4 linked regions of the Drosophila melanogaster genome follow. The protein of the gene in region 2 interacts with the protein of the main gene of each other region in a pairwise test. Each region holds a gene or a part of one and is shown on either strand. Other genes may lie near its edges.

Region 1 (4,763 bases), on a different chromosome or scaffold from region 2:
GTGTGTGGTTGACTGTCAACGATGGTGGTCAAGTGGATAGGGGTCGATATAGGGTCTAGAGGGATCGGTGCAAGTCGACGGGTGTTATATAATAAATGCTCGTATAAGCTTGGTAAATGGAAGCCGCATGTGGGGGAAGAGCAGAATTTATTAAACAGTCGTAAAGAGAAAGTCAACAATAATGAGAAGATGTTCAACAGCACGTTACAGTCATAGCCCAAGAAGAAATAAAAATAGGTATCAAGCAAACAAGCCTTTGATAAAAAAGAAAAAATCGAAAACAGGGGTGAGAACAAGGTTATTTTCTGAATTGCTGTGTAGCCATTTGTCGCTGTAGTATTTAATTAAATAATAATTTCAGCCCAGAAGCTCGCCAAACAACGCAGTCCCCGTATTGCGACTTCCATGGGCGGTGAAGGGTAGGAATTGCACTGACATCAGATCAGCAATAACAAGAGTTATTTTTATTGAATAACTCACCTATAACCATATATTAAATTGTTGGAATATCAGGTATTTAATAGGTGGAAATATTATATTTCTGAGCTATCTGCATAACGTGTATGCGCTCACAACCTCTATGTTTAACTGTTTTTCCCTCGTTGCTAGCGTTGTCCTCCACAGGTCTTCCTGTACTGCCTTTCGCTAAAAGACTCTTTTTCAGAATAGTCCGAAGAGTCGCTGCACAAACAAAACCATTAAGAATAGTCGATTAAACCCTGGTTTTTACTCACTCTACTTCAGTAACGTCGGAAAAATCACCATAATCCACTGGTCGATTGCACAGACAACACTTATTGTGTGACTTTTCAAAGCATTTACCGCAATAAACCCCTTTGCATCCAGGAGTGTCGCAGGGGTTACGATTTGAACTAAAAAGGGGACATCCAACTGTAACCCGGAGTGTGTTTAACGATTGGAGTTACTTACAGAGTCAGAGATCGGCCACATATGGTGCACCTCTCAGTGCTTTGACAGGATGAGCAGCAGGAGCACATGCACATTAAACAGGAGAATCTATTGTTCAGCCAAGTGTAGTTTCTGGTGTGCTTCACATTCCGTGTGTGGTTAAACTCATTACGCTTTCTGCGGCGGATAAACTTAAAAATGCTTGCTGGAGAGAATACATTAGAACAACTTTAAAAGGTATGTACTTTCTTACTTCTATCTTCGGAAATCATGTTGTACAGAAACATGCCTCTTTCCTTGGCGCGTTTTGGATAAAAGTGGGCCATTATAAGATGGCGAGTACGCAAAATATACGGCTCGGCCAAAAGGATCAGCCAAGCGAGCAGACAGAGTAATAATATAATTAGATACTCCGCATAATCAGGTTTCACGGGCAGCGGGAGGCAAGGATTCACGTCTAAAATGCTTTTTTGCGTCAAGGGTCGAAAGGCATTAGCGATTCCCCGCATGACATCCGCCACAAAGCCCCCACCCTTAATCTCTAGATCGACGTAAGCGGGCACCTCCAGCCCAGTCTCTTGGTGGCCATGGAGGGATATAGTTGCCAACAGCCAGAACAGCCCGTAATCCAGAAAGCAAATCGCAAACAACTGCAAGCAGGTTGTGGCCATGAAACAGGCGTTCTCAACAATGGACACGAACTCAAACAAAGTCAAACGCAAGCTAGTAAGCTGCAATGAAATCATTGTAATATTATGTCAGGGAAACGTAGGGAAACCTTACCTTCATATACTTTGCCCTTTCAAGCTGATGAAGGGGTAGCAGTGGATCGTAACCGTGCTTTTCGTGCCGCCGGTCGATATCACTTAGTATCTTTGTCAAGAACACATTCTGAAATTGCCGGCTGTGCATATATCGAAGGTAGAAGATGGTGGCTCTGATGGGAACAATTGAGGCATCACCAACACTAAATTAATAAGATGATTAAGCTCTTGCCTACTTAAAAAATACAGTAACCACCATGACCCAGCAGAGAATGTCCACAAAGCTGCTCAAGAAGATAAACGACGACAGACGCTTGTTAATATCCTGTAAAATTTCCTCCCCCACGTCCGTCAGGCTCTTTGAAGAGTTTGTATCGAAGAAAAATTCGTGCTCAAAAGTGATATTGGCATCAAACATTTCCTCGATGTGCCGCACAAATTCACGGTAGCCTGCGAGATCGTATAACTAATAACCAAAGTACCGATCGTTGTTTACACTCTCACGTTCTGCGATTTTATCAAGAAGACCCCAGCTGAGATCCCAGTAACCGCTGCAAAACACATCGATGATCTTGGCTGGATAGCAGAGGGCCAGAAACAGCTTTGCAGCATGGCATAGCGCCTTGAATACGCCCATCTTTGACTGGCACCTGATCATTGCGTGATGCGCCGTCTTTTTGCAACGTGCCCAGGGAGTGCCCATTTCTGTGTTGCACAGGTCTACGATGGATTTCAGCCAAGCGGCGCAGTTCTTCAGGGTTTTAACTACAAAAATGAATCAGCAGAGAAAACTGCAGCACTTTTTAATACAGATACTCACTAATTGCGATCAATTGGTCCTGAATGCGTAACAGCACTACCATGGCCAGCTTGAGCACCCGACGCACTTCCCGCATCAAGAGATCCACCGCTAGCTGGATGGCATTCACCGGCTCCAGTATTACGTCCAACATCTGGCCAAGCGCCTGACGCAATAGCTCCTGTCCGCAAGCGAGGCTGCGGAGCATCACCTTCAAATTGGCTAGAATGTTCGCCGTAGGCCCAACTGCGGCAATAACAAAGGCAAGGCTGATGAGGAACGCCCTTCCCCGAGAGCTGCACAGCGAGGGAAGGGCCAAAGTCACAATGCACCTGGCAGCCAGTGAGGGAACACTGTTAGACACAAATCGTTTTGGGCTTTTTCAGGTAGTTCTTACCTTACGGGCCTGCTGTAAAAGACCGCCAGAACAAGCGCCACCGGAATCGCGAAGGTGAGATTAAGACCCAGAACCAAGTGGCCCAGCTGCCACCAGTTCCATGCGAGCGTTACCGCGAGGCCGCATAGGTAGCCGCCAATTACGTATGGTGCCACCAGCTTGAATGTCCACATAGCGCCATACCTTGGCTGACTTTCTTCCATGATTTTATTTTGATCGATTTCTTTGTAATTTATTTGTAAAGTCTAACACAACAGTCGGAATCGATATCGATATTTTCTCTTGGCGCCCCACTTAGTGTGACCAATTTAAATGTGAGTTTTCATTGTTATCGGAAATGTGACCCTTCTTAAAATCGAAAAGCCTATTGTTTGTTGTTTTTGGCTTATCCGATTCATTTTTGGCGCCCAAAAAGAATTTAAAACTTAACCGATTGCTTTTTCTGTTTTTCGCTTTTTTGTTCCTTTATTTCAAACAACATCATTTTTTCTCTTTCAAAATAACAGTTATTTTTGATTTATATATCTTATAAAGTTACGTCGTGTGATCTAAGCGAGTTTCGGATTTGAAATGCGTAAAACGCATCGCTGCATTCAAATCCAATATTAATACTATTCAACGAATCTATTTATTATAATATAATGAATAATAAAATAAAAATTATAAAAACATAAACATAAAATAAAATTATATGTAACTAAATAATAAGAAAATAAACAAAAAAATAATTTTTATTAATATTTTTCTCAAAATGATCAAGTTATTTTGGAGCTTCAGGTTTTTATACAATTATGATAAAAATAAATATATTAAATACTCGTACTGAAAGAATTCGCATACACTTGCCCCTGGTAAAATTGGAATACTTATTGATTAAAACATATGATGATTTTAGTATTCCACTAATCGTCCTACAGGTTTACCTATGCACTTTTCGATTTTATGGGTCTTTCCGTTATCTCCTCTTTTTTCTTTTTTCCTGTAGGCTATAAAAGGTAAAAAAGGCTTCTGGATTTGAAGCGCAATGCATTTGCAATTATTTTAATTAGGGCAAGCCCTTTTTGGATTGCAGAAATAGAGCTGTCTTTCTATATCTTAGCCCTGTTCACTGTACTCTTTCTTCGATTTTAGGTACTGCAGCACAAGCGTAGGGTAGAACAAAGTAGTCAGGTCGTTTTATGTGTATCTTACGTAGATTTTGAAACCTATTGAAATGTTGTATCATTTTGCAACGTTGGATACTGGGATACGCGCACTTATTACCCAATCAGTTAGATATTGCCAATTGTAATAACCAAACGAACCAAAATAAAAACAAATTTTATCGTAATTTTGTTACTTTGAAATGTTTTTGTATTTTTCTTTAATTTTTCCTGTTAATGATACGTTCCTTTCGCTCGATTATCTTTTTTTGTTTTACTCGTAATATATTTTTTATTTTTACATGCTTCTCTTTTTTGACATTCTTGTTCTGGTACTCATATATAGATAATATATAATTTGTTTAAATATTTATTTTACAGATTTCTCTCACTATCAGTGGCTCTCCGTTCTATGACATCGTTTAATAAATCGTAATTTTCGTTTAATTTAATTAATTGTATACTTATGTGTGTTGTTGCATATTGCGTTAATTTTAATTTACTTAGGTCGCCAAAAATAATTTACTTAAAAGTAACAAAAAATTAAATTATGTTTAGATGTATATCGACCAACGGCGATATGTATGTACAAAATGTATTTTTTGCTTTCTTTCAACTTCGACTCCTTACTCTACACCTCTGCTCATCACTTAATTACTGTAGCTTAAAGGTAAATATGGGAGGGGATGGGCGCGTTCTAGTAGTAGCAGTGGTAGCAACTTAGACATTTACAACATTTAACTAATTTGTTT
Region 2 (3,191 bases):
CCATGTTAACAGTCGCGCGTCCACTGTTATGCTTATTTTCGCTTGGCCGTTGAAGTTGCTGCTGCTGTTGTTGCTGCTGCTGCTGCTGCTGTTGTTGCTGCACCGACGTCACGTCTTTCTCGTGCAGCGCAGTCGGCTTGCAGCAACAACACAAAGCGCTGCTGGCGCCCGGTATAAAACGGATGAGTCGCAGCCTGTGGTTATCAGTCACCACCTGACAGTGCTCCGGTTTTAGTATCGCCTTTCGAGTGCAGCAGAGCTCAGCCCAGCCACCATGTCCGTCCTGAAAGTATTCGTAAGTGCGACAAGGATAACGTTCGAAAAAGTGTTAAGCCAAACCTCCGCGGAATGGAGCTGAAAAGGATTAAACTCATGTGGACTATCGTGAATAAAACTAACCAACTGAAACATAACAAACTCACTGAAAACTGACTTCGATAACCGAAGTATTGGAAATATACCACCAAGATCGCCTGATGGCTTAAAAAGTCTCGAATAGATATTTCAAGAAACTGCGAAAGCATTTATTTTGCAGAAATATAAATTCACCCAAAAATATTAGTTTATGTTTATCAATCGCGGACTAACATTTCATTAGATTACTTAGATTTCACCAGAATTGAACATAAATTTTGAAGTGCCAAATTAAAACTAATCACACTGATTAGTTAGCTATTTGCGTTAATCTAGCCGGACCTAACTTACTAACTTCCTTATCCCCTTTCAGATCTTCGTCGCCCTCTTCGCCGTGGCCTACTGCGCACCCAGTCCCGGCTTCTTTGGCAAACAGTGAGTATCGGCGGCGATCTGCACCTGAACTGATCCATAAATAACCCGAGCGAATCGATAAAAATACCCATTTCCCGCTTTATGCTAAGCTAACGAGCGGTCGCATGGCTTTTTAAACGCTGCGACTGCTCCGTGGGTCTATGAAATATGTGTCCGATTGCGATCGAATTGAGCAATCAAAACGCTTGTAGCACTTAGAGCCCCAGCCCCCTCCAGCAGTCTCTATATGGTGCCCACCACTGGCTACCATTGAACTTAGCCGATCTCGACTTGGCTTGGCTCGCGGCTTAGGAATTTCGCAGGCGGCGGTTGGCATTTAATTCAGCGTAATGCGCGCATAATTGTGCGAATCAATTGCCAATTGCCAATAGCCAATATGCAATAGCCATGTCTGCCAAGACGCTGGGTTCAAGCAACTGATTAGCTAACAGGCGATGGTACATGGCATTCGATCTAACCGATTTCACTTTCGATCCGCAGCGAGCACCACACCATCCACGTGCCCTACAAGGTGCACACGGTGCACCACCATCACGTTCAGAAGGTCCATGTGCCGGTGGTGAAGCACGTGCCGGTGCCCATTTACAAGGAGGTGCCCGTGCACCACGTCCACCACGAGGAGATCCCCGTGCCGGTGCACCACGTCCATCACGAGGAGATCCCGGTGCACCATGTCTTCGATGACCACCACGACCACCACGGCTGGAGCTCCCACCACGGACACGGCTGGCTGTAAGCCATCTGCCCGCTGGCCTGCTTGTCTTCAAACCCACCCACTCAGCCAGTCCCATCTGAAGCAGCCTGTAAATACTGTACAATGCTAAGTTAATGAATGTAAATAAATCACAATTCGACTGTACACAGAACAATCCTGGCGTATTTATGGCAGGATTCCCTGAAGTGGAACCTTAGTGTTTGATGGCTCACAAGTAATCTAATAAACCAAATACTTTTAATGGGAATGAAATAACGATTTTGTTATTTGAGGCTTTTTAAGTTGTTGCGATTAGGATAGATGGTTACTTTTGAAGACTCGAAACTTGCTTATCTCTATATTTATATACTATATAAGATGGTAGAATATAACCTACTTGTTAAGTAATATTTTTCAAAAGATTTTTGTTATCAGTGACAGAACTTGTACACATAAAATAAAAACCCCATATACTCAGATACTCAAATACTAATACCCTGATAGCAAATAGCCACAAATAGACACACTACCACATTTGCACCATGATATATCTACAGAGTTGCTGCTGCTGCGTGGATCTGCGAATCGGAACCATAGCAATAGGGATTTTGCACATTATAGCGGATATCCTTGGAGGCACATTTGTTGCTTTATTTGGGGAGTCGGGTAAGTGAAGCAGGATACTTGAGAGCAAGGATATGATCCTAACACCCATAGGTATTCCCGATTTGGGTCACACCCTATTCATTATCTTCGTTATGCTGCACATCCTGAGCTGCGTTTTCCTGATCATCGGCAGTATACGGGTGAGATACCAGTACAATTGATTAGTTTCAAATTATAATACTTATGATTTGATCTAGTTACGGAGCAGCTGGATGCTCTTCTACATAATAATGACTATGATCATGGCGGTAGCAATGCTCATATTGATAGTATCCGACGTCATACTCGCCGTTTGTTTCTGGGTAATGATCACGTATGCTATAATGTTCTGTAAGTAGCTAAGTGTATCTAAGATTTCACAATCCCTTAATTTTTCCCCATTGCTTCAGTTATTTGCCTTTATTCCTGGCTAGTGGCGTACTCTTTTTACGCCGCCTTAGGAGGACCTCTCTTCATCTGAATGTGATCCATTGCCAAGTAATAAATTGTACTGTGATTGTAGCAATAAAGTACTTGAATTTTTACAAATCGATCTGCATTTTAAGTGGAATAATCATCGTAGAGTACCGAAATAACTATATCTCATCTCATTTGGTTCAATCGTTTTGGATTCCAAGAATTCGAATATTCCTTTTCATGCAATAAGTTTCCCATAATCACTTCCCATTACATTTGTTTGTAAAATTACTTTCGTGAGTTGCACTTTTTTCACACACTGCCAAAAAAGAGCAAAAAAAATGGGGCAATGCTATATTGATTATAAATAAAGCAATGATTGCACGCATATTTCAGGTGAATTGGTCGGGAATGTGATAGGTTCGATTGGATCATTGCTCCATTAGTTAATCCCACTGCAAGACTGTAATTTGCAGTTGCACTTGACCTTGGGCCGGTCTCCCAAAGGCGGCAATTAAGCCGAAGTTTTGCAAGAACGACTTTCACAAAGCACTCACTTGACCAGCTCCGACTGAGGTCGACCGCCAGTCCGCGTCCGCTCCGCTCCGATCTCTCCCTTCCTACGATCTCCACGAACCCGATCCGA
Region 3 (4,884 bases), about 14 Mb from region 2:
TTGCTGATACTAAATCCTCGCTCCGATTTACTCATCAGCAACAACGTGCGCTCGCCTCCGACCGCCATAAAATTGCAATCGTTTGGATTGCCAGCGATGCACTCGGCGCCTCCATGAGATCCCGGGATTGTGGCCCTGCCCTCGATCACTGTACTGGTCTTGTCCAGCACCAACATAATAAGGGTTTCCTCCGGCGGGCGGGTGATCAGGGCCACCGATCTGGAGTCATTGGTAAAGATCATCTGCTGTATCTCCGCATTGCGATGGTTGCTCGGCAGCTCCAAGTGACGTCGCTTCTTCAGGGTGGCCAACTCATAAATGGATATATACCGACCACTAATAGAAAGTTAAAAAGAGTCCATTCATTTGAACTATGTTAGGTTGAGTTATATAAAATATAAAGCATCTGAAATGAAGCTCTTACTTTTTCGAGTGCCTTTCCACCACCGCCAGTAGTTTGCGATGCGAACTTATGGATATCACCTCGGGTCGCGTATCCTCCGGCAGCCTGCAGGATTACAAGGGTTAAGATATTCCTTAACAGTTATAAAACGTGGAGTACCCACCTGAGAAACCTTTGCTTGTTTTGGACGTAGTCGTGGAACGCTAGAACTCCCTCCACCGGATAGATGACCTCCTTGGTCAGGTTGAAGTGGATGTTGCCAATGACATCCGAACGCAGTCCGTAGATGAGACGTGGCCTTATTGTCACCGTGCTGTTGGAAAGAGAGGCTCGCTTCACATCCTCCTTGTTGGCTTCGTCCATCCTCGTTGAGTGTTGTACAAAATATATGCACTGAGACCCGGGATTACAATTTTAGCTGGCAGACAGACAAATTGGAGGAACTGAAATTCGATCAAACAACCTGGGGCAAATCGTTAGGGAGTCCTGCCAGCGACAGCAAACTCCATGGCATCCATGGGAAGTGAGAGTGAGAGCCTAACAACACCAGGCTCTGGGTCTATTCCAATCTGAACGGAGCCGCGAGCGTCCATGAATAAGTAATTAAGCGCCGCTAAGTATGCTTTTAATTTAAACCCTCGAGTGACAAGGGAGGGGTCTGTGATGAAAGCTAAGCGCTTGATAAAAACAACATTGAAATTTCCGCCGAAACCGGCGCTCGTTTCCTGGCCAACAATAGAGCAACAGCCACACCGTCGCACTTGAACTCTGTCAATGCGCTTTTCGCTGAATATGGGTCTGCCAGTCACTGTGTCACTCTGTCAGTCAGTCAATCAGCCAGTCAGACAGCCAGCCAGTCAGTTGGGTCTCCAAGCATTGTGTCATCCCCCAAAATCCCCACAAGTAGTTGGCGGCTATCGTCTCCTTGGCACTGCGAACACGACCTAACGCAAGAAATTGTTAGTTAAAGAAAAGCTGCTCGGCCCCTCTTCAGCTGGGAAATTCTTGGGAAAGGGGGAAAGCTTTTGTGTCCACAATCCTACAAGTTGGATATGCCGAAAATGGTTTGAGCTCTCCCAGTTGGGGAAATAAATTGGGTGGGGAATTGGCTTGATTAATGGTTTTCCTTTCAGACAACACAATTTTCATGTGTATAAAGTATTTAATAGCAGTATTGTCCAATAGAATAATTTCAAACTCAACTACGTTGGGGTGAACTTTGGCGGTACTTTTGTGATTAATAGTTATTAGAATTAGAAAAGACATATCAGAAAGAAAATTTTTTTAAAAATATAACAACAATTTCAAATTTGTCTGTAGTTCATTAAAGATTTCCATCAAGTACACCCCCTTCGAATTAGCCATAAAATAGTCAAATAAGCATCTCCAATCCGTGCACCGCTGTCGTGGAAAGCTTTCGCTCTTTCGGCTTTCTCGGTTCAGTTTCGTTTTCATTTTCCGCTGTCCATTTCAGTAGTAGTTTTCGCGTCGGCCGCAGCACAACGAGCAAACGGAAACCGGAAACGGAAGTGAAAGCAAGCGAAAGGCAGTGGCTCCAAAGCACAGTTAATCGGGCAGAGAGCCGAGTGCAGACAACAGTCAACTGAGAACTGAGCGCAGTGAAGTGTTTGTTTTCGCCGTTATCAGTGGATGCACGCCTTTCCACCTCCGATTGCGAGTAGGGATCGGGCCAGGGACTGGGATTCCGAATCCTCATCCGCACTCGCATCAGCATCCACATCGGATTCAAAACCAAAATCAGTATTGTATCCAGGCTCGCGACCCGCACGGAGGAGGCGGCGAGCCGGAGAGGCGTGTCACTAGCAGGTGGCCGAGCCGGTTAACCAGAGTCCGACGGCAAAAAGTAAATAAAAAAAAAAAAGAACTTGTAAATTGTGTGACAGTACATAGCCTTTGAGGGCTGAATTGTGTGTGTTTTGCAGATTTCAAACGTGCCGCGAGCTGTTAAAACTTTTGTTTGTCCACTGGACGAGAGAATTTCCACACAGTTATCATTTATCTGAAGCAATATTTTTCTTTTTCATATATAACAGATAGTTGGAAGCTAGTTTATACTCAAAGTTACATTGTAATTAATATTATTATTGATCTAGAAAAACTATTAAATGGCCTTATAGCACTTTTATTGTTCTCTATCGATTTACGACTTGGCCGAATACTTGTCTGGTTATTCTCGAATGATTTGAAAACTATTTTGAAACAATCAATGCTTGGGCTTAAAAATAACTTCGTGCCACAGTTCTTACAAATGTGAAAGCCATCGGATCTCCGAATTTCTTTTCTGTGTGTACATAAGTAGGTGTGCTTGTGATTCTGTGACAGTCGCTCAATTAACAGTGAAAACTTCTGAGTCCTGAGTCCTTTGCGGCTGTTTTCAAGGAGGCAACTGAATTTTAAGCCAATTAAATTGCGCAAATCAGAATCGGAACTGGGAAAAAAGGGAACGGAAAATGTGCGATGAAAACGCAAATGAAATGGAATGGAAAATGGCCTAATGGACTCTGTCAGCCAGCAACTCAACCTGAAAAGCAGCACAGCTGTGGCAATTAAAAAGTAATTTTAATGCTCCTGTTTCGTTTGTTTTGCGAAAACAGGCAGCGAATTCACAATTAACCTGTGTGTTTTTGAATTTTTGTGTGGGTTAATACCTCGCCCTTGCACTGCTGTAAATCTTTTTCATCTCTCAATTTCCCCTGTTTTATTTGGCCATTCGAACCGTAGCGAGTCGCACGTAGTAGGTTATTATAAACAAATCGTTCTCCACAAAGAATCGTATATGTATGTATATATGCATATTTATACCGATATCCGCACATTCACCGCAACTAGAACAGGTCAAATGAAAATCGGATCGGCGGCAAAATGCCCGGAAAACGTAAATGTTCGTTTAAATTTAAATCCGTCGCAACCACAGTCGCCGCATTGCGTGCATTGCTCCACCATGTGGCAGTACATCTAGATATATGCACCGATTCTATATATGTTTACATATATATATATATTAACACGACTCGCTCCCCGTATTTGTGGACTCGCACGAAGTCGAGCAAAATGCCGCAAAGTTTGACCGATTATAAATGGAAATTTCTTCATCGCTGAAAGTTGTTTGTGCTCATTAGCAATCTGTAAATAAACAAAATTTCATCGTAATGGAATGAGTTTACGCATAAATAAAAACAGCACGAAGAAATCCATCAAAAAGTCTAAAGAACAACGTGAAGTTTTCTCATAATGGAGATCATAATAAGCTGAAGTGTACACACATCGAAAGCTATTATTTTGATTATCCCATAAAAACTTGAGTCCAATCAAAAATTCTTTCTTTACACGGTCATAAGAATAAAATTTGGAATGAAATGTTTACAGGTAACTTAGCCATTCGAACTGAGGTAATCTAATTGGCTTGTTAAATGCGAGAAGCATAAACTATTTATCTTGTCAATGTATTTTTTTACTATTTTACTGTGCTAAAAAGTTTATATTTTTCGGAGACTGTATTTTAACTTTCAAACTTTTCACACTCAACTGCGCATTGCGGAAAAGAAAAATCCTGCAGAGAATCTGAAATGATACCATGTTGAACTTTCATTGTTGCAATTATTTTTTTATCAGCTCCCATCCTCGCGAGCTTTAAGCTGAAAGTAGTACTCAATTAAAGCCAACTTTAGCCTCCCATTACGCGCTTAATTTTTTATCATCATCCTTGGCAGCCTGTTTCCCGCATTTCCCCCAACTCTTCACTGCACTCCTTTCATCAGCGACCTTCCCCACATCTTCTGTTCCCAGCATACCTGTGGAAAATCTCGCCGAAATTGGAGTCAAGTGTTTTCCCTTATTTTCTCTAGCCTTTCGTTTTTTGTTTTACCGCCAGGACATAATAGCATGCGCCCGCCCTTTCTTTCGCCATCTCTTTCGCTCCGAAACGTTTCACTTACACACACCAGTGCTCGCACTTGTACAAATATACACTCTGCACTGGGAAAAATTTCTTATTGTTCACCACAAACTCTATTTAACTTCAAGCAACACTAAATTATAGATCATGACGTGCTGGGTTTAAATTTCAGGTCATTTCCTAATTTAAAATTTTTTTGAAAATTTTACTCCTAATACGCATAAAACATATAATTTAATAATGAGCTTATTTTAAGTTGCAGTTGCTGAGACACACACTGATAGGCTTTATATGGCTCTTGGACTGGCATTATTGCTCATCCGCCATGTTGGCTTGCCAGTTTAGTCATTAGTTCCAGGTCAAATGTTGACTTTTGAGCAGTGTGCACCGGTGTAAAAGCTGAAGCGCAGCACACACAAGCCTTTGCCCCGGTATTTCCCATTTTCTCCTAGCCCTTTCCTTTCCTCTCCATTCCATTCCTTTCCTTTTGGCTTGGCTCTCGGCTTTCGGGCTTCAATTGTAGCGACCAAGTTGACCTTTTTGTTAATAGCGCTCACACACCGCG
Region 4 (5,035 bases), on a different chromosome or scaffold from region 2:
GCGAGATGAGGAGCGATGCTTGGGGCTGACTTGGCGTTAATTTCTCGGGTCTTTATGCTCCCTGATTCATTCAACTGTCGCTGTTGTTTCAATTTCAGTCCGCACCTTCGCTCCCCCGCTTTTCGCCAGTGTTGTTTGCTGTTTAACGAAGCAAATCAACAAATTGTAATGATGCCAAAGTCCTTTTCTGCGTTGCTTGCACTTTTGCTGCCGCCCTTCCACAAATTCTGTTTTGTTTTATTCTTCGTCTCAAATGGCAGACCCGAAACCCATTCAGATCAAGAATTTACACCCAAGTTGAATATGTCGAATTGGGGATACCCAGTGATTGGAAATCATTTGAATACGCTGGTAGTTAGTAGCACTGCATCCAACAGATACAAACTTGCTTGCAACTTGTTGTAAATAATTAATGAAGATTATTAATATACTAAGTAACAATCCAACGGATGCCTGATTACCACATTAGTGAGAGACCCATAAAGATTACAGATTGAGGGGTATCCCACAACCCGTGGCCCGAAACCCGCATCGGCAGCCCTTTTTTGCATGGTGCGCTCCACTTGGGGCGCAGTGTGGCGTAAAATGAATTGAGACATTCGGGCTCGCATAGAAAAACCCGGATCCTCCGGCCGAAAACCGCAGAGGTTCGGAGGTCCTTCAACAACAACTTCTGTGCTCTGCAGCGCCCTGAATGCAAAAGTGGCAAAAGTGGCAAAAGTTTTGCACCACTCGGCCGATGAACCACTTGAGCCCCCCACTTTGTTGTGCATTCAGGTGTGAAGTTTTTGGTCGGCGCACAAAAGTATGCTACAAATAATTAAATCATGCAAGGCAATTGCTGGAGTGTGTTTGTGTGGAAAGAGAGAGAGAGAGAGCGCGAGAGGGAGATGAAGAGACCGGAAACACTCGCTCCTTCTCCCTCGCGGCGAGACAAGTTCAATGCCGCCTTAAGGTCCTTGTCAGCCTGCCATCTAGTTTGATATTATCTAATCGATATTTATATTCCTAGCTCGCTGCCACCGCTCCTCCCGACCTTTCATATTCCTCCCTCGTCTGTTTTTCACGAATTGGAATTTGCATATGACACAGGAGCTGTGGACCCACAAAAACAAGGAGGCGAAAGCCTGTAAGAACATTGGAACGAGGCCGAAACGAAATCGCCAGTGGCAAAACACGCTGGCCTCTTCCATCACGCTGGTTTACTTTTTGCGATGGCCGGCATTTCCGCTTCCGCTCAAAATGCACACCGAAACGTTCAATTACGGAGCCAGAGAGAAAGTTCAACTTTAATAATTTGTTTTTTGTAAGTGAACTGTACGTTTTCCGGCACACTCTGAATCCAGTTTTTTTTTTCGAAAAAAAACAATGTTATTGGAAGTAGTAACATCAATATAATTCCATTTTTGAAAACTTTTATTATGTAGATAAATAGAGAACTATAAAAAACAGATAGCCAACTCGTACTTTAAATTTTTTTCGTGCTTTATATTACTCTTACCAGATAATTTAACAAAACCCTTGCTATAAAACAAAGGAAAGACCACGAAAAGCAACCATATGGAACCGTCAGAAACCAAAACTCACGTCGAGATAAATTGAAGTTTATTTGCTCGACTGCTTGCGGCTGCTGCACTTTTTCCAACTTTTCTTCTCCTGTTTTTGGCAGACACTATTTGCTCTTCTCACCTGCATAATTTATAAGCTAGAAATCATTTGCATGCAGTTTCCTTGCACTTTGTTTGCCTCCGTTTTCCGATTTTCCTTATTTTTTTTTTGAACAGGAAGCGTGGAACACAAGCTGCCAAGAATGTGAAATGTTTGTGTTTGACTTTGGCTTCGATATGTTGCACTTAAAACAATTGACGGCAAACAGGGGGAAGGTATCCTGTGATTTGGTCTAAACATGAAAACTGGTCAAAATGTATCTCTTCCGTTCGTTTTCCGACGCTCTCGCCAGAGGAAAGCTCTTCGGGAAAAGCTCCACTCGGATTTTCCTTATAAACGTAGAGCACTGATAAAAACTCGAGCAGTTACCGTTTCGGTCGCGTAACGACAGCAGCAAAATCCGAGAGCTGCGTTCGTCATTAAAGCCAAAACAATCAAAAACAACAAGACCGAATATATGAAAGTAACAGTTCAGAAAACAGACGAAATTCTCACCGCAACTCGCCGGTAAAAAGTGGGAATAAACAAATTGGATATACAATTAATTTTGCGCGGAGAAAAAAACTGAGCGAAGCAAACAGAAAGTGTTTTGTTAGTGCAAAGTGTGAAACTCAAATAAACTTTACAATTGGTGAATTAATAAACCGAAGCTCCACAAATGAGGTAAGTCAAAAGAAGCGTAAAAAGAGCTATAGAAGCTGAGTCAAATTAAAAAACCCCAGAGGAAATGCGCTAATTAGGAAGGTAACAAATGCTGAAAGAAGAAAAAGTTTTAATGTGCCATGAGATAAAATTAAGCAGATGGCAGCTTAAAAGTAAAAGTGGTAGGACCTATAAATGTTCAAGGATTAATCCACAACATATTTACTAAACAAATGCAACAAATAAGCCTAGCTAAATAGTCCTTAGTTTTTTACAGTTTTAATCTAAGGTCTTCAGCAACTGTTATTCACTTCAAAATCACTTTCATTTACTCTTCAAAATATACAAGTGCAAAATACCTTTTCATTTAAAAGTTGATATTCATGCACTTCAGCCCCTAACACTCGTTCAAAATTCTGCGAAGCGTACCGAAATCACATACAGAAATCACTCAAAAAATGTTTTATTTCGTCTGCCTCCATTTCACAAAAAAAAAAACGGTATAAAATCCCAGGGGGAAGTGGCAATTTAACGGCAGTTTGTACCCAGACAACCTTTAAAGCCCTGTTTCGACTGCCTTTAGCCCGCTCCGAAATGGGTCTTTTGAGTTTTGCAGCTACTGTTGGCCTGGTGGAACGTATGGGCTTAAGTTAAGCACGCAGGACCAAGGTTGGGATAAAAAATAAATTTGGAGCACGAAAAGTAAAAGCGATGCTCAAGTGGCACGGCGCTTAACACAAATTAGACGCACTTAATTACGGCCCAAACAGTCGCAGCTAGCGGTCGTAAAATGTATAAAAAATATTATTGGAACCACAACCGAGCCAACATCAGGCAAATATATTTAAGCAGTTCACCAGAGAGAGAGTGGTTTAAGAAGTGGCTGTGGGTCTGCAGGAGGGTACTTTCAATTTCGGGCATTCAGAAGTTGCGGCTTAAAACTCAATTAAACGAATTGGCAAAAATTTAATTACAATTTCAGTTTCCTTTTCGTTTTTAAAGGAGATCACCAAGGACCCTTCGCACAGAAAAAGAGCCAGGGAAAAAGAGGATGGGCGATGCGGAATGGGGCTGAATGGATGCTAGATAGACAAGGCAGCGGGCAAATTGTTTTGCCAGCTGCTGGCAAAGTTCATAAAAAACTAATAGTAATGCAAACTGAAAACAATTAACTGCGTTTATGAGAGGGAAATGACTCAAGCTCGAAATGCTTGGGATTAAAGAGAAACTTTGATAATAAAGCCATCGTCTTATGAAATATATAATTAATATGTATTATTATAAAAACAAACTTTGATTGTCATATTAACTTCAAAGAAAATGTGAATGCAAATTTCACAATTCTATATGCACACTGCCAATCTAAAATCTAAAAGCTAATGGTATTTAATATAAAAAGTTTGAACTTTAGAAAACATACAATAAGAGCTCGTTGAAATGTTCTTGTATCGAAATAAATAGTAGCTAATTACATATTTAAATTTCGAAAACTTACAAGTCTGCCCACCCATATTGGCCAACCAAAGTTTTCCCGCCCGAAGCTCAACCCTTCCGCTAATGCCAACAACTTCGGGAACAACAACAGCCATTTCCTGTTCCTCTGGGCCCCAAGTTAGCCACGTTTTATCTGCCGAACAATAGGCTCATTAGTGGAACAGGCCACACCAACGAAAATGCGCCACGCCTCTTGGGCAAACTTTTCTTAATATCAACGCTGGCTTCCGAAAAAATACATAAAATAATATTTGTGTTGCCAGTAAGTTTTAGGGGCAATTAATTCGGGCGGGGGAAACTTTAATGACCAAAAAAATCCCCAGTGAACTTACGCCATTTGCCATAATTGGAAATGAAAATATTTATTGAATTATTCAGGGTAATGCTCCAGATATTACAAGTTCCGCAATGAATTCGTTTTAAAGAACATTTAATTGAAGACAAGTCTAAAGCTTGAATCTGTTAAAGAAGAGGTTTAAGCACGGGGTCCTTGGGCCGAAAACTTTTCCATCAACTCAAGAGTTGGCCCGTCAATCGCAATTTTCAAGTAGCGACAAAGTAGCGCAGAATGAATATGCAAAATACTTCTTTGGAATAGACTCGACTTTCAGCGCCTGAGAATCCTTGGCATCAACCCCCTGAAACAAGTAATTCCACTTTATTTAAGTTTTTTTCTTTAGCAATAAACCGCTTTCGACCAGAAACGGATGCCAATGCGTTTAAGTTTAGTTCAGTTCTGTTGAGGCTAAGAAAAAAGTGCGCGAAAACTGCATCAGAATGGAAATCTAGAAAAATGCTTTGCAGACTTTCAACTGTACTTTTTCTCTCTGGGGCACTAATAAAAATAGCGTGCAAAAGTTTTGTCTTCTGCACTTCCTTGCACTAAAGTGCAAATCTTTTTCGGAGGGCTCACCGAGTCCTTATGCACTGAAAAGGGATCAATGTGTCCTCGGCAGAAAATCGAAAAGCAAAGTAAATGCACTTCACATTCAATATAACAATATACGAAGTAAATCCAATATAACGCGTTATGATCTCAGAGTAAAGAAGCATAATGTTTTCTCACTTAAGGTGATTTAATAAAGTAGTTTCACTGTTCTTTTTGCCCAAACACAATGCGTTTTAACCACTTCTGAACTTATAAAAACCATAAAAAGAGCACGAACAAAATAACGACCGAAAGTGTCAGGATCTTAATTCTTGACAGCACTTTGTGCACTTAAATTTTCGA

What was found.
Region 1: the proteins of CG43183 (region 2) and CG6845 interact in a two-hybrid assay, tested with the Drosophila melanogaster proteins (one large-scale study listed by BioGRID).
Region 3: the proteins of CG43183 (region 2) and CG33143 interact in a two-hybrid assay, tested with the Drosophila melanogaster proteins (one large-scale study listed by BioGRID).
Region 4: the proteins of CG43183 (region 2) and CG32204 interact in a two-hybrid assay, tested with the Drosophila melanogaster proteins (one large-scale study listed by BioGRID).

What each region holds. Positions count from the first base shown.
Region 1 is NT_037436.4:144,813-149,575, reverse strand, and holds CG6845 (uncharacterized protein), read right to left. Parts: upstream 3,144-4,763; 5' UTR 3,073-3,143; coding exon 2,870-3,072; intron 2,805-2,869; coding exon 2,494-2,804; exon of another isoform or gene 2,439-2,493; coding exon 2,178-2,438; intron 2,124-2,177; coding exon 1,910-2,123; exon of another isoform or gene 1,847-1,909; coding exon 1,693-1,846; intron 1,641-1,692; coding exon 1,163-1,640; intron 1,115-1,162; coding exon 931-1,114; intron 873-930; coding exon 735-872; intron 682-734; coding exon 606-681; 3' UTR 520-605; downstream 1-519.
Region 2 is NT_033778.4:8,590,296-8,593,486, forward strand, and holds CG43183 (uncharacterized protein), read left to right. Parts: upstream 1-1,899; 5' UTR 1,900-2,025; coding exon 2,026-2,149; intron 2,150-2,200; coding exon 2,201-2,289; intron 2,290-2,346; coding exon 2,347-2,479; intron 2,480-2,538; coding exon 2,539-2,609; 3' UTR 2,610-2,674; downstream 2,675-3,191. Other genes in the region: CG14752 (uncharacterized protein), read left to right, coding at 275-295, 728-789, 1,270-1,525.
Region 3 is NT_033778.4:22,612,455-22,617,338, forward strand, and holds the start of CG33143 (uncharacterized protein), read left to right. Parts: upstream 1-1,873; 5' UTR 1,874-2,267; intron 2,268-4,884. Other genes in the region: tous (testes of unusual size), read right to left, coding at 1-336, 425-508, 567-766.
Region 4 is NT_037436.4:18,943,029-18,948,063, reverse strand, and holds the start of CG32204 (uncharacterized protein), read left to right. Parts: upstream 1-2,025; 5' UTR 2,026-2,331; intron 2,332-5,035.